Lepisosteus oculatus: one gene and its partners. The protein of the gene in region 3 purifies or fractionates together with the protein of the main gene of each other region. This does not show direct contact. Links are inferred from orthologs where the notes say so. Each region holds a gene or a part of one and is shown on either strand. Other genes may lie near its edges.

Region 1 (8,022 bases), on a different chromosome or scaffold from region 3:
ACAACAGTTTGAAATGCTGCAATTTAAATCAAAAACTTCATCTTCTTGATTGAATACAATTACTAAAAATCAAGGAGCACAAAGGTTTAAAGACAAACTACTGCAATTCACTGTTCGCAGAGACTCATCCCCATGTTTGGAACTTTCCTGCTTTTATTCATTTTTAGGCATCTTATTTCACATTCAGAAGAACCACTAACATGTGCCATCTCTGTGTTTCAACAAATTAACGGTGGGCACGACCGAGTGCTGTTTGATAGCTGTGCATGGATAAGTCATAACACCACTTCTAATGTTCTGGCTGTTAATCTTATGCACTGGTATTTACTACAAGCACTGTGCAAACGCATGAACACATGGTCATTCTGTGCCACTGCAACTCAACTAAACCCAGAACAAGCTGGGTGAAAAATGCAGGCAAGACATTTTGGAGGGAAAATCTGTCAGAGCCAACATATGCAGCACACTCTAAAGCTCGGGGGCTGGCTGTGAGTGATGGAATGAAACAGGGTTTTAAGGACAACTCCAATCAATAGGGCTCGTCTGCATACTATCAAGTTCGTATTGCATATGTTGTACAGAAGCTAGTTTCATGAAGGCACAAGTCTCCTTTTCACAACAAGTCAAGGTTAACATTCTTGCATTTACAGATATTAGTGCTTGCTTCGTTGACTATAGCAGAAAACCCAAAACATATATTGTCCCCCTTATGACCTACACCAAGTATAAGCCAATACCTCTAAAATTGACAGCAAAACAGTGCAGCTGAAAAAAAGCCATAAACCTCAACACTAACGCCATATATAAGACCTACATTGATATTTTTACATATCTGCTTCAGAAATCTAAGATAATCAAGGAGCTTACGCATCTTATAGTAAAAAGAATAAACTCATTGAAAATGAAAACTACCTTTCACTTGTTTCACAGTAGGGTAAGTCAACTCCTGATACATTCACTTGAGCTCTAATAATGTAGCCTTCTCACCCAGCAAAGTTTTGTCTTCTGTGCACCCCCAAAATAAAGAGTTAAAATGTTTCTATATTGTTTTCTTTTACATTTTATGACACATGTCCAATAAAAGCACCATCAAGCCCTAGTTTGTCAAAATAAACGGTTAAAGCAGTGAAAATTGGTTAAAAAAAACTTGTGTCCTTCAAAATGGGGACTTGCAAAATAAAACATAGATGTAAAAGTGAGCAAGATTTAAAGAAGAATTTTCCTGCTGCAGAACCCACAGAACTCATGCATGACTATATTTGTGAAACCTTCTAAGGAGTTCAAGACATAAGTGCACTTGTTCAAGATGTAAGCAATCTGAAAATGACAGGAGCCCCAAGTGCTAAGCAACGTTGCATCTGTAGATGTAATGCCTAGCAGATATCCCAAATCTCTCAAATGTGGCATTTCTTCAAATGGGATATTGTATACACACGTGGCTTCCCAAGGCAGTCAACTTAAAACAAACAGGGTCACAAAAGTCTCGGGTTATCTCTTGGTCATTCCCTCCAACAGGAATCAAATCCTGTAAACATACACCGCATGCATCTGTTTTAAATAAGGCTACATTTCACAGAATATTTCAAGAAAGAAGAACTTACCGAAGGTAATACTGTTTTAAAACAAAAGCAGCGTTGGAGCAACTCCTTGGAAAATTAAAGTCCTCGACAAGTTCAGACCACTGATTCTTGTCAGAAACCTACAATAAAAAGTCAGTGTTTTAATTAAATTCACTTCAACAAGCACGCTTTGAGTATCTAAAAGCCCCACAATAACGTCAATAACAAAACTTTTGAGTATCCAAACACCGCAGTGTTACAATATTAATTGTCAGCAAGCTATCCAATGTATTTTGTTTACAATTTTGTATTATTTTCCCATATGAAACAATGGACCTCCCCCTCCCCCCGTTACTCTGAAATGTCAACTAAAAAGCGGTCCAGACTCTCGGTGACACTTCGAGACCGCTCTGATGCGATCGATACCTCCAATAACGGTCTGTCATGATTTTGGGACGTTTTTACATTTCTATGGGTATTCAATAAATATAGGCCTGTCTGAGGCCTACATTTTGTTTTCAGCCATGAAGCCTAAGATGGCTATGGCTCATGGCTGGCTTCTTTGTGATTTTTCTGCTTAAAATCGAGGCAGGAGAGCCGTTCCCCGCGGCGAGGAGCATTTCCTAGCCCATGCTCTGTGCCGATTATCGATGTTAAACATGCCCGCTAATTTTGAGTTGCACTAAAACTGCACTCAGACTCCGAGCAAGCGGAGCAGCTGAGAGACTGACTCTCAATGCAAACCCAGCACTCTCGCACAGACACACAACACAGCACTACACTCACAGGACCAGCGCAAGGCCATCGTCAAACCCGTCTTTACCACCGCCGATTCAGAGCCAGCCAAACACCTTGCAGGAGCCCAGCCGCTTCTCCACGAGTTTCCTAGCGGACCCGGGCAGTTATATCGTGAGCTGAGAGTGGGAAATGCGAATATAAACTTCCACTCACCTTAGCAAATCCACCTAAAGTAGTGACTCGGGTGTACAGAGCATTAAGATCCAGCTCTTTCCCACCCACGATTGGGATCTTCTTAAACGGTGAGCTACAAGGGAAAAGCGTGAAATTAATACAGGATTGCCTTTCCGCGAGCCCCCGGCTATGTTTATTTGTCGTTAAACGTGTTTTTAAAGTTATATTTTTAGGTTTAAAAGCCGCCCCCTTCTCACCCTCTGCTTTGGTGAAACTGCCGCAGCTCGTCCAGGAAAGCCAGTCCTTTCCTTCGCTGATCAGGTTGATTTTTCCCCGTCGAATTTGCCATTTTAAAAATATTAAAAAACAGTTAAAACCCCACTCATTCGCTTCCTAAGATACCAAGGATCCCATACTCCGCCGGCGCTCAGTCATTGACGAGAAAGCTGAGTGTTTTAAAAAGTTAAAGAAATAAGAGCGAGAAGAGTGATAATAATGTGTATGCACACAGAGAAAACAAGACCCGATTTAGCCTACTATAACTTCCACCAAGCAATCCGAATTACGACCGATTCTGACGGCAAACTAAAATTGACATTGTTCTGTATAGTAAATGAATTGTTTTGGTTGCTATTGTGTTCGTTTTGGAGTGGTTTGACAGTGTGTTACAGACGCGGCTCCATGCAATCTCACACACACTGTATAAGCGGCAGCGGGATCCAGTTCTCAGACAAAAAGATCCTGAGGCCGAGAGCTCCGAGCGTCGCGCAGCGCCCTCTAGCAGCCAGCTCGGCACTGCACTACCCTGAGCGGTTACCAGAACAATAGACAGTGTTTTCTGCTTAGGGCTCATCGGAAACTTCCTAAACCCGTTAAAACAGAAGGCCGTGTTAAATGTTGGTGGGGGATGGGACGCCTTTCTTTTTTTTTTCTCCTCCATGAAACTTGCTACAGGTAGTTATAAAAAAACCTTGAATCGACATTCTTAAGTCAGCATCAGCCAAAAATAACATATTGAGTACTCTGCGGACTCCACATTACACATTTCACTGAAATCTGTTCGTTTTTGCTCAGCTTTCATTTTCTGGTTATCTGCATAGAAGTTGAACAGTGACATACTAATACACCTTGTAACCAGTGCAAATTAGGAGTCCTTGGTTAATGTTCATATTAATATTAAATGAAGTGCATGAAAATAGATAATTCAATTGAGAACAATAATGATCATTTGTAAGTAGCGTAACCATCTAACTTGTAATAACTATACACTTAAACAGAAAAATAAATTATTTTTGGTAATTGTACTACTAGATGTTTATCAAGACATGGGGGACTTGTTAAAAGAAGCATGAAGAGAATCATGTTTTACAAAAAAAAACACTTTATTATTTAATAATAAGTCTAGTTAAATTTTAATTGAGATCGAAGTTTCACACTAATGGCCTATATGCAACACTATTATTGAATTATACTACTAATAATAGTTATATTAGGTGATTGTCTAGTTTATAAATGCTCTATGAATTATTACTATATTCATACTATTTCAGTGAATAATAGAAGGTCAGGATATTCCGAAACTGTTACAGTGCAGTCATTTTCTAATGCGTGCGTTGATTATTGCTGAAGACAGATCAAATTAATAAGCTTAAAATTGGCAAACCAAAGTGCTCCTGTTCCTAATGTCACCCCCGCGAAATTCCTCGACAGAGCAATACAGTAGTAGTATTAGTAGTAGTAGTAGTTTGAAAGGTGTCTTACGTCACTGTACCTCAGTTATAACAATTTCACCCTGGAGCTGGAGCGCAATTGTCCAGATGTTAAATCATGTACACTCTGAAGTGATCAATGCGAATTACTTAAAGGGTATTAAAGTCGTATATTAAACTCCACTATCCACTACTAAGCTATCTTAAGTTCATTTTTGAATAGTGTTCATTTTAAATCTCACGTAAATTTCGACAAAAACTAAAAATAAATGCTATAACAAGGCAGCACAGAGAAGATCTTGTGTGAACTGTGTGAATCAATGACTTAAGCAGAGCAGCACTCTATCATCATCATCTATATCATTATTGTCATCTGTCAGATGTCATTTCAAAGTGTGCAATGTTTATTATGCTGCTGTAGGATTCAGAATTGTTGTTGTTCTACACAGAGTATCAGTATTCGTATTCTGCACATAATAGGAAATCTCCCATGAACTCAGCACTGACAGCACTGAAGCTATACGTTTGATTAAAACGGCGAATCTGTAGTTTCCCATATTCAGTGTTTACATCTGCGAAGTGGTGCTTTTCGGCAAGGGATCTCCCTGATAGCCCTTCTTGCCGCCGTGAACGGCCCTTAACCACAGCACTGCCTCACAGAACAACCAAGCTTCGTGACGGAAGGGGGCGATCAGACTAGGCTGCTCCTGCGCAGCCGGCCTGCAGCAGAGCTGGACTTGGTACTGTTGGGTTTTCATTTCTTACAGCCGTGGGGACAGAGACGCAGTGTACATGTTCAAGCGACGGCAGGTTAAAGTGTACCACAAGCACCCTTTGTGATATTTCGTCTTTCCTCGCATTTTGCTATAGACAAGGCTACGTTGTCTTATTTTTTTTTTGTAATGTCGGTAAAGCACATCCCTTAAAATAACCACGGTCTCATGAAGCCGGATTTCAGCGAGTCTTGGAAAGCTGTTTCAGAAAAAAAAACAACAGGACAGTAACGGAGGTATTTAGTATGCTTGCGTTAACTTCATGAGGACGCTGGGGGAGGATCTGTCTGTGCTGGGAAAATCGAAAATTGCTCACGATCCCTTTTCATAACTGCCAGACGCATATCTGCGAGAGGGGGTCACCGTATTCAACCATTACACGTACCCCTATCGCTCCGGCACTTTCACAAAATGGCGGAACCCGGCGTCTGACAGACCCCATTTTGTTGGGAGATGTCAGGAGAAGTATACACACGCACCTCTGTATAGAAAATAGGTCCACGTTATAGTCTTGTCGGTTTGTAAATGGTTATAACCGAAAGCTAAGAAACTAATTTAACAGGAGCACGTGGTGTGCTGTAGCGTATTCTTAGACTGTTTCTTTTTAGCTTTTTCGAGGACGCACACGAAACTCGCATGTGCTAAAATGTTACCAGTGAATAGTACTTTGTTGTTACCGACTCAAATTTTGCATATTTAACCGAGGTAATGGGGATAATTTCTAGTTCATCTTGTTGTATTGTTCTGAACACGTGCTTCCGGTTTAGTGAAGCCCCGAAACATAAGTAGTCGGCAGGATTTGAGTATGTTTCTTCACAGGCGGTTGGTTAGAGATTTCACGGAAATATTTAAACGGTTTCTTAACTGCTTTAGTTTTAATTTACTCTAGTGCACAATTACATTATCTTAATTACACAAAATAACATTTTGATCTGACCATTATACATATTTAAAGCAGATGTGTAATTTTAAATTAATTTATTCGCATTATATATAAATATATTCCGAAGAAACAACAGATAATTATTTTATTGTTTAAAATATATCGGCTGGGTCTGTACATGTTTATCTCAGAATGTTGAAACTGAATTGAGGAAATTGAGCAAAATTTGAAACAACGGGTGACCCAGTGCTCCACCCTGTGGGAGGAAAAGGCATATGTTTCCCTTACCCTAAAACCTTAATATTCTTGGCTTTATCACATATTACGTTTGACAAAGAAGTATAAAATAGTGGACTTGAAAACATGTGTAAATTAACTGGCTCTTAAGGGAAACATATATATATATATTTTATAAGTGTAACTGTTAATTTGTCATCGTAACTAAATGTACCTCTAGCCTTTCACTTTCATTTGTTTTCATGCATAAGCAATTTTTAAGAGTACAAAATACAACATTTTCTCAAATTACTGATAAAAAATTGATACTTGTAACTGAAATTAATTTACACAAATACTACGTCATGCATTTAATCAGTTTGAAATGAAAAACTACAACACACCAACATTTCACTATATGAAAATAAAATGAAATAAAACTTGGATTATGTTGCATTTGCCTACCTTTGTTACTTTCCAGTGCTTCATATCTGTTGTATATCTTAAACTAAGTGACTAAAGTGGAATCTCCACATTTTGAATTAACATAAATCAGAATTGATATATAGATGTTCTCAGAAGTGAAGTTTCTTCAACAGATTTCTTTTTACAACTGAGAGCATAATTCCTGACATTCACTTGAACAGGCAATCAGGCAAATAACCTGTATACAAATAGGTCATGTCATTAATCTGGATTAATGTTCATGTTAATCTGGAAACAAGTTATTGTTTTCTAAAGTGATCCTTTTGCAACTTTTGATATATTAATTTAACATGCAATTATTCTTGAGCATTTTACAATTTGTAATATATGTTTTCTATTTATTATACCATATATCATTAAATGTTTTGTTGTTTTTATATGTTTGTGCCTTGTATTTTGTTAGTTGTGTCCTGCCCAGGGATAACAAATGTAAATGAGCTTTTTAGCTAACTATGGTACAGCTTAAGAGCATTGCAATTGTTCAATAAACTAAACAAGAAAAATCAGGAAGCTAATGAAGTAGCAATAATCAGATTTTTAGGAAGTCATTGTAAATTGGTAATGTAAAAAATAGTGTTAGAATGCTGGACTCACATTTCTCTACAAATCATGATATATTTGCATTACAGGGGTTAGGTCAACATTTTTGATTAGTTAATTTTCAGGTCCTTGAATGCTGAAGAATACCTTCAGCCTCAGAACTATAAAAAAATAAGCTGTACCCACCTGACTGTTGCAGCTGCAGGCCAGGTTTGTCGCCAACAAATTAGTTTATAGCTCCCTCTACAGGGTAGATGCAGTTCAGTTTATTTATGAAAGCGATACAGATTAGGAGAGTATACAGCACTGCTGTGACTGTTCTCAATGAAGACTATACCAGAAATATTCTACTATTTTATAAACACGAAACTATAAAAAAGTAATATTGTTTTCTCAACATAGAGATGTTTTTTTTAAAGTAAATCTTCAAACACAATTATACCAGTGGTATAGTTTGCAGCAGCCAAACAGATAGTTTCATAGTATTTATTATTTAACTTATAATAATAGAATAGTTGGCCAATAATATTCCAGTCATATTAAAATGTTCTATTATTAGAACTGCTTAACTAATTGTCTGTTATTCACACATATTCTATTGTTGCACCTACAGTACAAGCGCGAAGTTAGATCAAGAATTACAACTATGTATCTGCTCACTAAGTAGATAATTAACTGGTCAAGTAGTAATTGGTCTAATTACTGCCTGCATTCCGACAATTAAAACATGGCCTCAGCGTGAATACAGTGAGATGTGTAAAATATTAAATCGTTTAAAGCAGGACAGGCGAATCAATGTATTCTATTTATATAGTAACCGATTTCTAAAATTATTTTTAAAACTTTCAGAATTGTTCTAGTATTTTTAAAAATCCCACTCAGGTTAGAGCACCAAATTTTGCCTCCCTAGTGAAGAGCAGACGACAGCTCACTGGAGAGCTTAC
Region 2 (7,657 bases), on a different chromosome or scaffold from region 3:
ACTGGGCCTCCTGGTTGTGGCCACCGCCGTAGGACACCTGCACCCAGACTTTCCAAAACTGAGCACCTTCCTCTTTCAAGCCGATGTACGTCCTTAATTAACTCCTGTGTAAAACGGTTATCCAAAGTATGACATTTCATTCTCCATAGGGATATTCCTGCTACTTACAGTCTCTCTTACCTGGCCTTCCAGCTCAATTAGGCCTTTTCAATATGCTCCTATAGGCACACGTCAGGGGTGCACATGGCTAGCGCCATTTCTCCCCAGACACTTCCTCCTACTCAGTCAAATCAACGTTTTTGTGGCCGTACAGGGTAAGACAGCTGAAAACGATTTCAAGATGCATTTTCTAACCGCTTCTTCCAATTCAGGGTCTCGGAGGAGAAGGAGCCTCTCCCGGCAGGCTAAGGGCACAAGGCGGGGTACACCCTGGGCAGGATGCCAGTCCTTCACAGGGTCCACTCCCACCAGGGCCCATTCCCCCAGAAGCCAATTAACCTACCAGCAGGTCCGAGGACTGTGGGAGGAAACCCACGCCAAGATGGAGAGAGCACACAAGCACACAGGGTGCAAGGCAGCAATGCTAACCACTGCGCCACCTGAAAACAAAATCAGGACCTTTCGCTTAGAAGATGAAACTTTCTTCGATTAGGTTGTTTTTGAGCTGTGCACGGAGCGTACAGACCTACGAGACTCTCCTCTTAGTGATTAAGCAGCATATTTAAGGTTTCTTACCAGCTTCTTGGCTAGAGGCTCATCCTCCGACTCCCGTTTCCTCTTCCTTGGGGACTGCTGGTCCGATCTGGCACCCTCTCCTTTCCCACAGATGCCAGAACTAATGCAGGCGACGCCATTTCCATCTCCCTCCGTGTGCCTTTCTGTAGCCGCGCTGTTTAAATCCTTGCGGTCCTCCGGTTGGAAAACGCCTCCATCCGAAGAGCATTCCTCCTTCTGAGCCGCACCTTCCATGGCTACTCCTGAGCACCGATTCTCCACGCAGCTTTTCTTCTTTTCCTTCAAATTTACTACTAGAGATGTGTCGACTGTCGAATCAAATCCTCACTCCTCCTTCGCTATGTTTTCTGTGAAAACAAGGCGAAATCTGTAAACACGAGTGCATCCAAACACCAACAGAGACCTTTACAGTTTCTTAGGTAAACTTCTTCTTCATTGCACCTCTTTGACTCTACAGTGAACGGTGAAATCGATGCACATACTGAAAAACCTCAGAAATGCAAGCGCCCCAGAATTAAAAAAAAAAATCATGTTTGGTTTACTCAATAATTTCCAATAGGCTCTCGAATGGTTTAAAATATGTAATTTGATCCGGAAGGTCCTTGATGTTACAGGCTAGAGTGACCCTTGCCATATGGGGACGTGCGTTATCTTGTTAAAACATTAAGGAATTCCTCTGGCATTGCTGCAACAACAGCTGGTGCACTGGTCGCAGAGTGAGGCAAACAAAACAGTGTCCAAGCAAGATTACAGCATCGCCAAGCCAACTCCTAAACCTGGCGCTGACTGACCCCGATACCAGCAAAACAGCGCTGAAATTGCAGTGTCGCCTTCGTACATGCACTCTACCGTTACCAAACGACAAGGAACCCCAAACCATTCTTTGTCAATATCCAGGAGTTAGTTGAATAAATAACAGTCATGTGATGATACCAGAGTGGAAGGGGGTTGGGAGAGACTGGAGACTACAGTGTGGTTAATGGGTCTCACACAATGCCAGTAAATTCTTCAGTGTGCAGAAGCCATGGCAGAACCCAAAGCAGATACTAAAGTGTTAGTTACGGAGTTCTATTGGATGGATGGATCCTGTATGTGGCAGTTTAGCGATACACGAAGTCCAGGAGAGCTACCATGTCTTCATTACACCCTTGACTCCTAATGACCGTTCACTCAGGTTCCGTTTCCACGCCTTTACTTGTTGATGAATAAACGCCATTCCGAGTAAAATCGATTCATGCCGATACCAGAGACGCAGGGCGTATTGCAGACTATACTTTGAATATAATGTGAATAATTTAGATAAAATGTATTTTTATATATTTTATGGTCCTTTAAAGGAAACAGTGTTCGCTAGAATTTAGCTATACATGTCGTTCTCTGGGTATATGATTTGTAGCATTATTTACCATAATTGTTTTTTTTTATTATGAAACGATTTTAAATATTGTAGTTGTGGTTGTTTTCTGTTGAAAAGGGCAATGTAGCGGTGTCCTGCCCAACAGGCGAAATGCGCCACCACATGTACAAGCGGTCAACAGCAGGATTAATCCTAGATTAATGACCGGCGTCACCTGTAAACCGGACAGGCTGAGGTGAAATGAAAAGCGCCCAGTTTTATTTCGGATTTAGCGGGTGTTTCGCGTTTCTTCACTGGGAAACAAAATCGGCCAAAGCCAAAAGGACCGTAACATGGCAAAACACCGCACCCGAGAAACAAGAACCACTCCATGAAATTCGTGAGAGAGCCAAGCGGACAGGTTCACGCTGCCCCTCCCCCATCCTCAAACGTAGCTTGTTTCCCCACTCCGGCTCCATGGAAAACTTTCCTTTTTGCTCCCGAATATACGTCTTTAAAACAGGTTTTTTTCCCCCATTTCACGTGCAGATATTCTACTCCAACAGATAACACACGTTTAGCGCTGCGTCGTTAATTCTCAACCGTGATAAACGTGGGGCGCGTACGAAGTTCTTCAGTATATACCATCAACTCAGTATCACACACCGGCTTCAAGACGTCCTGAAATCATTCAATAACCCACTCCGAGCACAACACGTAACAAAAACATCTAAAGAGAACATGCATCAAGCTACGGACTAAACCAAAACAATACATTCATAGGGATTAGACTGCAAACTGCGACACACATTTCGTTACTAGTCGTTTAACAAATCGAGCCGCGGTTTGTCTAACGATCTTACGTGGGTTTTTTTTTTCAAACGTCTAAATCCAAGATTATAGCTGATAGCAGATTTTCGAAGATGCCCAGGAACACGAACGAAGCATTACAACACAGTTGTTTACATTACACTCAAAATTATCCGAGGCTAATTCCGAGCTAATCTAACTAGGGAAAGAACCAGTTCTGTTGAAACATTAGCAAACGCGCAATTAAAAATACTGAAAAAGATATTTAATTTCTGTAAATAATAATATCCGCACTATTAACATTGCACCGTCGCACCATACCTACTTTGTTACGGCATGCTACTTCCGCTCCTAAGCATGCTGGGAAAGCAGTAGATCCTGTTTCCTTATTTGAGAAAATCTCCGCCCTCTCGCCGGTGCTGGACCTTGTAGTTTTAATGATGAAAGTAGAGGATAGTGCCACACTAGTTTTGAGGCTTCGTTGCACTACATTTCCCAGAGTCCCGCGCGTGTTTCCCACCATGCGGGGAGGCATGCCATCTAGCTGGTGTGTTCTGAATGACAGAGCGGGCATGTCTGTCTTTCGGTTCAAACTTTAGTTGGGATTTCACCACATCATGCTGGACCTAGTTCTAAACGTACGTACTCTGAACATTTAATAGAACTGCGTTTTAAATCGAAAAACCCCGTGTGTTTTTTACTTATTTGCTGTGGAGTTTTTGCCGACATATATTTGGCAGGTGTTCAGAATGGGGCCTTAACTGCTTCTAAAGCTGGACTTGACTGTGAGGGCGAAGGCTTAGAAATCACCAGTCACGTACAAATCTTCAAGCCAGGGCTTGTCAATGCCAATTGTCTCGAGAGGCCTTTTTAATTAGGTGAACAGAAACGTAGGCATCACAAATGAAACCAATATACAGTGTAAGAAACCAGGCATTTAGAAGTTTAATCGCTGAACGTTTGTTTTCTTTTCCTGTGAACAATGATAATTTCACTCTTGGACATCCCGAAATGCAAGAATCTCTGCGTAGCCAGAATATACTGTATGGTTTAAAAGAGTGATACGATTTTTTTAATCAAAATTGATATATCCGGCCTTGATATATTCGGCTTCGCAGATGTTTTTTTAACCAAAATATTTTTGTATTTCAGCTCAGGTAATAAAACGGTTGAATCAATCATTCTTTTAAGGTAAGACTGCTTTTTAAGTTTTTTTTCTTAGTACACTTAGTTTTTTGGACTACTACAACCTAAAGGGATCTCCTCTCTAGTTGATGATTGTTTTATGACAAATTACAACGTGAAAGTTACTTTCTTAATCATTCTTGTTCATAGGACTGACAAAAAAAATCACCTATCGATTTGTCAGACTGTGAATCAAAATCTGTGAATGTAAAGGTTCTTGAAAATTGTGTTGGTCACAATTATTTAATTCCTGTGTGGAATGCAAGACACCAAATTCAGAAATTAATTATAATGCAGGTTTATATGATGAAACTAAGGATATATATATATAGTATGTGAAAAAAGAAGTGGTTTCATGGAGGATTTTTAACATTAAGATTGGGAAAAACCAATAGGAATGTCAGTTTAGGAATCTAGTAGATAACTGCGTCAGAGGACCTCCAGGAGTAAATACTTGTATTGATGTAGTCTCTTCTGACAAGATGGAGTAAGAAAAACAGAAACATCAGGGAACTGCTGTCTTAGTATTGATGTTTTCGAATAGGTCTTCAAACTGCGCAGGTGAGTCAACACAAACATTTGCAAGTTCAGAAAAGCAGACAATAAAGGAATGAGACAGTACATAAGTAGAAAGGGAAAATCTACATATAGATCTTCTAGAAAGTGTATGGCAAAGGTTTATATGTATTCTGCTTGTAACACAGAACAGATTCAGTTCACGAGTAAACAAATCAGAGTCAGGAAAACAGTGGCCCAGAATGCTGAATAAGTAAATTAAGAAGAATATAAGGAGAAATGAAGCACTTCATAAAGTGTTAAAAAAAAAGTTATAAAACTAATTAAATGCATTCTTGAGATAAAAAGGATATTAGACCATGAGAAAGATAGTAAGGAATTTTGCAAAGGAGACTAAAATAAATATTAAGTTTTTTCCAGTATTGCAACAACAAAAAAACACAAAGAAATGATTTGTCTAGGGGATAAAAATGGGAATGATTTCAAATGATGACAAGAACATTACTATTCAGAGAACTCAGGGCTGGTCAAAAGCCTGACTGATACATTTAACACAGATATAGGGTTTTGCCTTTGGGTAGCAAAAATATAAATTCCAAATATAAAATGTAATACGGGAAACCGCAGTTTGAATAGGCTGGCTTTGAGAAAGATTATCATAATTTTCATCTTCTAGACAGCTTTGGGAGAAGTGATCAAATGTGAGGATACATTGTTAAAAACGTAACTTTATAAATCAAGAAATGTTATGTTACAATATTGCATTGCAGCAAGACCTCATGATACAAAATATTGCTCTGGAATCATGCAAGTACAACAAAAAAAATAATATGGAGTAAGGATAATAAGATTAGCAAAACCTGTCTGCACTGTGCTACACAAAAGGATTGTAGTAAGAATTAGAACACAAATACTGTGGACGGATTTTTAGTTGTATAATCTAAAAGCCACATCTTCATAACAGTAGAACTTACAGTTAACAGAAGTTCAGTGGGATATCAAGAGTAATGGAAAAGATGTGGCACAGGAAACATCGAGCTGAAAGTTCACACGTAACGGATCTGTAAAATCGATCTACCCCCAGAATAGTTAAATTGTCTATTCCTGGGATAATAGCAATTATACGGTGTAAAGCATTAAGGCCAGAACTTAATTTTCAGGCTACATTCTATTTCAATGAAGGTAAAGGAAGCAGTTTCGACATTAAAATGCAAATAGGTGTTTGTAAACATTATTGCACAACAAATACAAAGCATTAATTAGTATAACTTACAAGAAAGCAGTTTGTCGCATCTGATAATGCATCTCAAGTGGGTACATTACCACGATCGTGTTTGATTAAAAGAAATATTTTTGTTCGGTCCCAAGTTCAGTAACTTAACAAGAGTTAAGTCCGCTTTCCTGGAAGGCGGGAATGTACGTCGCCCGATTCAAATGAAGACAGATCTTTTAAAAACATGTATTTAGGTTGATATGCGCTGATGCTGATCGCAGGGATTTGTCAGACCCCGCTGGAGTAAATGCGTTTTCTTGTTCTTTGTAATCTGCTCCCAGACGGTACTGGAGCCTGGAGATGCAGCGGCTTCTGTTACAGACTGTTCTCCGGCAGGTGCACGCGGCACGCCCTCTCCTTCTGTGCCCGACTCCAGGCCCAGCGGGCGGTGTCCCACCCGGAGGTCCCTGCAAGGGGTGGCTGTCTCCCTCCCGGCGATGGGTGAGCGCGTCCTCCGCACGGACGGCCGCGGAGCCGCGCAAGGCCGGCATCAACGACGAGCCCCCGCCGGTGTCTCCACAAGGGGCCCTGGGCGCCACGGGCAGTGATCCGCCACCCGGCGCAGCCCCTGAGACAGAGGCGGACCCCCTTCAGGACACATCCAGCGGCCTCTACCAGAGGTTTAAGAAGACCTTCAAGCAGTACGGAAAAGTCATGATTCCCGTGCATCTTGTGACGTCTACAGTGTGGTTCGGCTCATTCTACTATGCTGCCATGAAGTAAGTGGAGAGCTTTGAGCTTCAGACCTGTGTGGAAAGTGGCTTCCACTTTGTTAAGGGTCTTCACAAAGAGCTGTTCGCTCTGCAACCCGAGTTTAACGAGGAAACAACCATTTATTGCCTGGGAAGCTCCATTGATAATGCCAGGCAAAAATAATTTAAAGGTATTTGTGCTATGGTGAGGCATTGTCAGTATTTCACTCAGTAAACTACAGGAATACAGGACCTACTTTTGAGTTTCCCACAGATCCTGAGACAAGATCTCCAATAAGATGCACATGGGGGCTTCAAATAGTGATGTCCTGCACAAATGGGGTGCCTGCTGGTGAAAAGACAAGCTTACGAACATACCTTGTAGTTAAAAGAGTGTCGGTGGGCTGTAAGTGCTAAGTTGGTCACTGTCCTATTTAAAAAAATAAGTGTTCATTCCCCAGCTGAAACTTTTCTGTTAGCCCTCCAATACCCACTTAAAGAAGAAGGTTGGAAATAAAGACAAAGATCTACCTCCTGAAATAATATTTTGAATGTATCCTCTAGTTTGTCCAGGGGTTCTGGATGGAGCCCTCTCTCGTTGATGTGCTGTAGGGTTTCCTCCGGATTTGCCCTGTCATGTTGTTCTTTAGCTGTGAAGACCACAGACCCAGTTTCAGCTTGAATACATTCACCGCACTCATCTTGTGCGACAGTCTCTCCCTCCCCTGCAGTCTGCAATTTGGCTTGTTTGTTTTTACCATTGTGTGCGCCGGCCTACCACCCATGCATCATCTGACATCTCACTGTACGACTCCTTTCTTGATTTGAAAAAGGCGACAGTGATCAGACATCAGATCTAAAGGTCTCCGGAGGACCTTCTCTCAATTTAATCACCTCCCATTTGCATGAAGGTTGATTTGAGCATAGCTAGCATCAAGCTCATTGTGTAATGATGTGATCGAGTGATGCAGCGGAGCTTTTGCACAAACTGATCTTGACGATCGTGACCAGTGTCGTCACATGGGAACAGTCAATACACTAAGCCAATTGTAAGTCAATTGCTTGGTCAAAGGATAACTGGTAACTGACAAAGGCGGGGAATTCAGGATC
Region 3 (7,728 bases):
ACATAAGCTGATACAAAGTGTTTCAGAATAAATCTCTTACCAACATCCACAGCTTTATGAAGCCAGCTGGTAACTGCAGAAAAGATCAAAGCATCACCATGTGTATGAATTAATGAATTAAGTGCAACAAACACTTATTTCTAAAAAGACATTTTAAAAATAAGAAGTAAAAAGGCTGGACTTACATTGGGTCGTAACTAGACAGGAAGAGAAGTAAAAACTGAGTCAGAAATGTTGGTAATGAATGATTATGATTTCTGAACATATTTAGTTTTATCTGTACTTACAGCGGACTTGCTCATTTACAATGGTTTCTTCAGCAATTTTAGCTAAAAGAAAAAATAGATATTTTAAAGATCAGTAGTTCATAATAGAACTTATAATTTTCTAGAAAAGCATTAGAGCCAGTGACAATGTTCTGAAAAAGGAAATTAGCACCCACAGGTAATGACACTGAATTAACAAGGCTTCACATTAGGTTAATGGCGATCTGCTTGTAGACGCTGCACTCAGACTGACAACACTCTTTGAGGTTGCTTTGCTTCTGACCTGTTATGGACAGCTCATATTCACACATACAGTATACAATTTTTACAGGAAATGTAGGCTTCCGAAAGGTGTTATGCTGGATCTTTCCTAAAGAAGTCCTGAACAATGCTCTTTTTTAGAAATATGCAACCATTTTGCCTCTAAACTCTCATTAGATGCTTCTTTTGTTCCACTTATCCTACAGGGTATTTTGTTTCATGTGACACTCAGTGGAAGGCAAAGACCAGTGGAAAGTAAGGAAAGGGTCCTGTCAGATCGACCCAACTTACCCAGGTCTTTGGTTTTGTCGTTTTTATTAGTGGGATTCAAAACACCCTGTGGATCTGGAAAGGGAATACCAATTGTTAGATGATTTACATGACATAATTCTCATGGCAACAAGCTGGCTTCTTTAAGAAATGGCTGGATGAGACTGCGTCCTGTTCAGGACTCTCTCCACGTGTCACTGTGCTGGGGAGGAGTAGCCCTGAGTGACAGAGAGGTGTTTACAGGGCTGTGGAACGCAAGGAGTATCCTGCTCTTACTGGAGAGGGCTCCTAATGATCGTAATTAGTATAATGACAGTGTGTGGATCATGGAGAGGGACAACTGCTCAAGAATAAACACGTCTGTCAGGTATTTTCACAGAGTATTGCTAGAGCACGATTTGCTCTTTTTTATTTTCCTCTGACCAGTCAAGTTCACATTAGAGAAAAGCATAAATGAGAATATTAAATGTCTAAGTATGTCTGCACCTGTATACTCACACATACTGTTGTCTGGAGACAAATCTCTTTGAATAAATTAAACAGACAGAAAGCAAAAACTCGCAATCTTCTGTGACCAAAGAGCTGGCAACGGTGTAATTTAGATAAATTAATTCAATAATTAAGTAATCTAGGTCATTAAGATCTCTGGCATGGTGAAAACCATAATTCCCTGTGGATGTCTAGAAGAAACAGGGAATATATCTGATATAAACCGTCAGATGCTTGAGCCAGGATGCAGGAGAAACTGTACCCATATCAGAAAGCGTTGTCTCGACCCAGAAAGGGTGTCTCCAGATCTGGTCCTGGAATGTCACACTCCAGCGTTTTTTTACTTTTAGGATTCTTAAACCACATCAGCAGCTTCAGACCTGTTGCAGGAGAGTTAAACTGGACCAATTATGCCTCATGTTAGCTAACTCTTTTCAAAGTCTTGTGCTATGGATAATTGAAGGAGACCTACAGAATATGGGAAACCTGTGAAACAAAATGCTTAGAGCTCACCTAGTGCTCTTGCAATTTCCTTGACGGCCTTTGATACCTTTGTCTTGCTCTTTGACTTGTGTCGGCTGCTTCCTTTGCGCTTTGCCTCTGGAGAGAGAGGGTGATGCAGGTGGGAGAGGGGAGTCCTTTATCAGTGCCTCAGTGCGTGCACTAACTAAATGCACTCTCATGAGGAAAAATGCACTACATGCTAACTGCAGTACACACACACTCAATGGTTAATAAAAAATAAAAAAAAACAGAGTTTTACGACAGGAAATTGATTCCAGTTGTCAGATTACGTATACGCATACCTTAGCGTTGTGCAACAACCTGAAACTTTCAGGTACCATAAATAATATTATTGCAAAACATACACCATTCTAATCTGCAAGCGACCAGAATATAGAATACAACTTTTTGTATAAAAATGCAAATGTTGAGAAACACCCAAGCAAACAAAAAAAATTAGCTTTATTTTTTGCTAATGTTCTAATGAAGGATTCTGCTATGACTGTGCTTATTCAGTTTAATTATTTGAAAGAAGGGACTGGGCTTTTAAAATGCGTCTAATCTGCCCACTAACTATAAACAGACGAATCACTCAGCTCAGGCGACCTCAGCCTGGTCTGCCAACTGCAGTGTCCTACCTGCATCCCAGAGCAGCAGAGCAATCACCAGGAGCAACAGAACCAGTCTTCTCATTGTGCCCAGGTGACAGACCGAGCTCTCTGTATGGTTGTCAGTCTCTTGCTCTCTCTCCTCTCTCCCTTTCCCCCTTCTGTCTGCGTATTTATACATTCTCACCTCTCCTGTGTCCCTCCCAGGCTTCCCAGCAGCAAAGACTAAAATTACAGACCCCGGGTTTGAAGGCACAGAGAAATGAAGGCTTGCTTCCATCTACAGCATCAGATTAGTTCTAAGCACCCTACAATTTCCCCAGGATTCCAGAAAAGGCAACATTCTGCATAATTCATTAGCGCTTTCTGAACTCACTAACCTGGTTAAGTCAGAGTTCTAGCAGCACAAAACAGAACATTGTGTGTATGGGTTGTATTTCTGCACAACCAGCCTCTAACACTATCACTGTGCAAATCCCTCATTACTATCACTCACTTATCACAATCACTGCGCAAACCCTTTCTCACTGTCATTCACTTATCATGATCACTGTGCAAAATCCTCATCACTATCATTCTGCCTTTGCACCTGCAGCAGTTTTCTACAAAGCAGAGGTGGGGACAGCAGTGAACCTTTTAACAAGCCAAGCATCCCAGCGGTTTCTGTGCTCAGTTCACACAAGTGCATCCTCTACCCGCTTAAAGGACATCAGTACTCTTAACTTTGCATGCCAGGCAAAAAGTCAATCTTCAAGCCAGATACAGAGTTCAATGCTTTTGAGAATGCAGCTGATGAGGACTGCATTCTCACAACCTAACTCACAAGGATCTTTTTTAAGCGCTGTATTTGTTTGGATGTTTTTAAAAACAAATCAAGGACATCAATGAGCCCTGCCTGTGAGATCAGATAAGATCACTTTATTAGCCATATACAATTTCTTGCATTAGGAATGTGTCTTTTTGCAGACCCCAGCTTGCTCTCCATGAGACACACAGACAGGGAGAGAAGCTGGGGGTCAGAGCGCAGGGTCAGCCATTTATACGGCGCCCCTGGAGCAGTTGGGGTTAAGGGCCTTGCTCAGGGGCCCAACGGAGTAGGATTCCTCTGCCAGTCGTGGGATATGAACCAGCAACCTTCCAGCCACAGACACAGAGCCACCGCTCCGCCCCTGTAAGTTTCCTTCCTGCCCCCCCTTGCTGAAGGTATGGTGCCTACTCTTCGGTGCCTTCACCACCAATAGTGGTTAATTTGAGGTTACCAGGGTAGGAAATTACAGCTGTTAAAGATGTGTCTATGGAAAATACACATTAAAACTGAAACCGTGTTATTAAAACAATCTGTAGTGTTACTTCCTCGGTGTGTTTATGACAGAAACAGCGACGATCCACAATCCTGCTTCCCTCCTCGGACAGGGTCTGCTCAGGCCGCCTGGTGATAGAGCTCATCCTGGGACAGAACGTGGCGATCCAGGCGTCGGAGTGGAGAGAATTTTCCAGGTGTTTATTTGCAGTCGAGATGTAGCGGTGTGTGTGCGTGCCTCTTTATTAGATCATTTCTGGGTTGCCTCCACTGAACCTACGTCAGGTAGAATAAATAAGAGCAAAATAGGTTCTTATTAACTATTTTTGCTATTTTGCTGAAGTTGATGCAGGAGGCAGAGGGCTAAATTCTCCTGGGTGTCAAACCAGGGAAGGTCAGAGAAACAGGAAGATGACCAAATACATGCCTCATTCACTGACCTCCAGCAGGAATTCAGGTAAATGAGAAATGCAGAGATGCCGTGAAATAATCTTGCGTTCTGTAATACTCTGTAGCTATCATGCTGCGATGGCGCCTACGCATTGTAAAACGTCCGGCTTTGGAGGAGGTACACCGGGCAGCCACACTCAATGAAGAGCTTAGTCTGGGTCGCACTCCGCAGGCGTGGAAACCTCACTGGGGTGGGGGCTGTGTGTCGTACGCATGCGCGCCAGCAGACACGGTGGAGGGGGGGGGGGGGAGAAGGAGGAAGTAGGCTGGGCGAGCATGCGCACTGGCACACCGGTAGCTGGAAGCGGCCTGGCAGGACGTTGAATTTTAGGGAGAAAATTTTTTTTTTTTACAAAAAGCCGAAGCGCCTGAGTCAGGTCATCGACGGGGGTGGGTAAAGAGGAGAGAAGGTAGATTTGGAGTGCGGACTTTCCGAACCGTAGCCGGATCACACAGTATTTGAAACGAAAAACACGTCGAGACATCCATGTAAGTATGACTATTGTGTTATGACACGGTGGAGTCCACGTTAGGATAAGGTCAGCGTTTGCTTTTGGTTTCTCCGAGACACACTCGCCCCGTGTTTTCTGAAAGTGGGCCATTCGCAGTGCACGACTGTATAATATATCAGATCTGCACAGTTACGGGTACAGTTACAAAACCTCGGTGCACTGCCGTCATCCGCCGTTTTGCCGGTCATAGTAAAGACCTCAGACACGCCGCTGGCACGTTTTATCCGGACCAACGCTGGCCGGGCTCGGCGGCACTGGCACTTCGTTCGCCGGTGTTACATCTGCACCGACGGAATCGGCCGTATCGCATTTAGCGGAGAAAGTCCGGTGCTTGTTGCTCCAGCCGGATTTCTGTTCTCGCATGTCATGTACCGGGGGGTGGCTGGCTGTACCCCTGGAGCGCTACCAGGTGTTGGGGGTGACATTTCAGCCGGTCTCTGAACTCACCGCCTGCTCCGGCGGCCGGAGCGCAGCAGTCCCCCAGTGTGTAGCAATTGGGGGGGTTTAAGGAAATGACCTACAAAACTGGCCGGGTTGTTTTTCTCTCTCTCTCTCCGAGAAACAACCTCCTGACACATGCTGTCATTATATGGGGTGTCCCTTTCTGTTCCAGTCATGGAAAACAACAACAACAACAACAACTCATCTCAAGCCACCAATCTGCTGCAAAGCCTTCAGTATCTTTCAGTTGCTGGGCTGGGCTGTGCGTCCCAGTGCGTGTAGGTTTCCCAGTGTGTCGTGATGCAGCTCGTTCTCCCCAGCGCGCAGGCCGAAGACGCCGTGTTCCGGTGGCAGAGGTGTGGCAAAACACTGGAGGTGACACGAACCTCTCGGCTGATACGAGCTCCTGTGATATCGGCTGACAGCGAGCGGCAGGAGAAGGTCGGGGAGACCCCGGGGGGGGGGTCTCGCGAGCGCGTTCGCACCCAGGGTAGAACCCCGTGACGTCAGAGATCCGTCGTCACACGTCGTGATAATCAGATGAGCCCTTGGCGTTGAAGGCCGCCGTCCACCTGCACGTTCATAAATGCTCACTTAAAGTCCCCTTAAAATTAAAAGTCCCAGTTAGCTCCGGTAATACTAATCAGTGCTGGGGTATGTTATAAGCAGAAGCGTTAACAGATCCACTGTAAACACTGTCAGGGCGGGTCACTGGGTAAGGCTGTTTACTCTACCCGCTGGTAGACTGCTGGCAAAGAGTCCGCTTGTGTTTTTCGGGCACATCGGGAGGAGTCTCAGACAGCTCCCAGGCAGGTCTGAGACCAGGGGGTTCGATTTGCTGGTGAGCCTGCTGGTGCTCAGCGGTGAAGGGGAGGCCTTCCACTGTGACTAGAAGCACGTGGCTTTTTACATTTGTTTTCTGAAACCTGGCGCTCCAGGAGTGCAGGACCAGCAGTGTTTCCCCTTCTGAGCATTTAACACCGAGAACAGGAGGGGCTTCTTTACACCGCAGGGTGGTGGGAGTGGGGAACAAGCAGCTGTTGACCATGCTGTTGAAGACAGTACCCTGGTTTCTTCCTAGAAACAGCTGCACGAGGTCCTCGGGTCCTTCAGCTACCGCCAGAGGGGCTAGATGGGTCCAAGGCACTAACGATCCCAGCCCGAACCCCGGCTGTGACCCTTGCCCTCTCTGCAGTCGTTAGCTCCAGCCAGGACAAGCGGCCACTCTGCGGGGGCTTGCAGGAGCTGGGATGATGGGATATCCCTGCGCGTCTCTCTCTTTCCCTCTGGGCTGCCCCGCCAGAGAAGCAGGGACTAACCTCTGGGCCCCTGTCTGTGTGCAGACGCCAGGATGAGCTCGGGAAGGGACAACGTGCGGCTGAAGAGCTACAAGAACAAGTCCCTGAACCCCGAGGAGATGAGGAGGAGGAGGGAGGAGGAAGGCCTGCAGCTCCGGAAACAGAAGAAAGACGAACAGGTGGGCCTGTAACCGGGGGCTGCGGGGGGCCACCCGAAAAATGCGCAGCTCAGCGCTGCCTTCGGTTTACTCTCAGGGGCTGTCAGTTATAGCCTGTAACCTGCTGCAGTTAGGTTAGCCCACTGGGCTAGATGGGGTAAAGAGCCTCCTCTTCTGTTCTTCAGGGACAAATCTGAATTAGCAGCTGTTCACTAGAAGCCTGCAAGCATAGTTACTCTGTTCTTGCGGTTGGATATGGCCCCTTGTAGAAAACCGCATGCAGAATATCAGTGGCTGTTTGGTGCTGGACTGGTGTGTGTGGTCAGTGCTGGTATGTGGTCAGTACTGGTGCTGGGCTGGTGTGTGTGGTCAGTACTGGTGCTGGGCTGGTGTGGGTGGTCAGTAGTGGTGCTGGGCTGATGTGTGTGGTCAGTAACTGGTGCTGTGATGGTGTGTGGACAGTGCTGGTGCTGGGCTGGTGTGTGTGGTCAGTGCTGGTATGTGGTCAGTAATGGTGCTGGGCTGGTGTGTGTGGTCAGTGCTGGTATGTGGTCAGTAGTGGTGCTGGGCTGATGCGTGTGGTCAGTAACTGGTGCTGTGATGGTGTGTGGTCAGTACTGGTGCTGGGCTGGTGTGTGTGGTCAGTACTGGTGCTGGGCTGGTGTGTGTGGTCAGTACTGGTGCTGGACTGGTGTGTGTAGTCAGTGCTGCTGTGTGGTTGGTGCTGGACTGGTGTGTGTGGTCAGTGCTGCTGTGTGGTCAGTACTGGTGCTGGACTGGTGTGTGTGGTCAGTACTGGTGCTGGACTGGTGTGTGTAGTCAGTGCTGCTGTGTGGTTGGTGCTGGACTGGTGTGTGTGGTCAGTGCTGCTGTGTGGTTGGTGCTGGACTGGTGTGTGTGGTCAGTGCTGCTGTGTGGTCAGTACTGGTGCTGGACTGGTGTGTGTGGTCAGTACTGGTGCTGGACTGGTGTGTGTAGTCAGTGCTGCTGTGTGGTTGGTGCTGGACTGGTGTGTGTGGTCAGTGCTGCTGTGTGGTTGGTGCTGGACTGGTGTGTGTGGTCAGTGCTGCTGTGTGGTCAGTACTGGTGCTGGACTGGTGTGTGTGGTCAGTGCTGCTGCTGGGCTGGTGTGTGTGGTCAGTACTGGTGCTGGGCTGGTGTGGGTGGTCAG

Evidence for each region.
Region 1: the proteins of kpna1 (region 3) and arid2 purify together in Homo sapiens (co-immunoprecipitation; 3 studies listed by BioGRID and IntAct, with this or other methods). This does not show direct contact. The link is inferred for Lepisosteus oculatus from reciprocal best matches to the Homo sapiens genes KPNA1 and ARID2.
Region 2: the proteins of kpna1 (region 3) and rnmt purify together in Homo sapiens (co-immunoprecipitation; 4 studies listed by BioGRID and IntAct, counting the BioPlex papers as one, with this or other methods). This does not show direct contact. The link is inferred for Lepisosteus oculatus from reciprocal best matches to the Homo sapiens genes KPNA1 and RNMT.

Annotation. Positions count from the first base shown.
Region 1 is NC_090702.1:29,026,060-29,034,081, forward strand, and holds the start of arid2 (AT-rich interactive domain-containing protein 2), read right to left. Parts: upstream 3,274-8,022; 5' UTR 2,821-3,273; coding exon 2,729-2,820; intron 2,605-2,728; coding exon 2,511-2,604; intron 1,700-2,510; coding exon 1,602-1,699; intron 1-1,601. UniProt on the Homo sapiens protein: Involved in transcriptional activation and repression of select genes by chromatin remodeling (alteration of DNA-nucleosome topology). Required for the stability of the SWI/SNF chromatin remodeling complex SWI/SNF-B (PBAF).
Region 2 is NC_090705.1:9,533,194-9,540,850, reverse strand, and holds the start of rnmt (mRNA cap guanine-N7 methyltransferase), read right to left. Parts: upstream 3,274-7,657; 5' UTR 3,207-3,273; exon of another isoform or gene 3,203-3,206; intron 3,151-3,202; exon of another isoform or gene 2,935-3,150; intron 1,083-2,934; 5' UTR 970-1,082; coding exon 736-969; intron 1-735. Other genes in the region: fam210aa (uncharacterized protein C18orf19 homolog A), read left to right, coding at 6,156-6,574. UniProt on the Homo sapiens protein: Catalytic subunit of the mRNA-capping methyltransferase RNMT:RAMAC complex that methylates the N7 position of the added guanosine to the 5'-cap structure of mRNAs. Binds RNA containing 5'-terminal GpppC.
Region 3 is NC_090700.1:4,265,715-4,273,442, reverse strand, and holds the start of kpna1 (importin subunit alpha-5), read left to right. Parts: upstream 1-4,444; 5' UTR 4,445-4,637; intron 4,638-6,444; 5' UTR 6,445-6,452; coding exon 6,453-6,578; intron 6,579-7,728. UniProt on the Homo sapiens protein: Functions in nuclear protein import as an adapter protein for nuclear receptor KPNB1. Binds specifically and directly to substrates containing either a simple or bipartite NLS motif.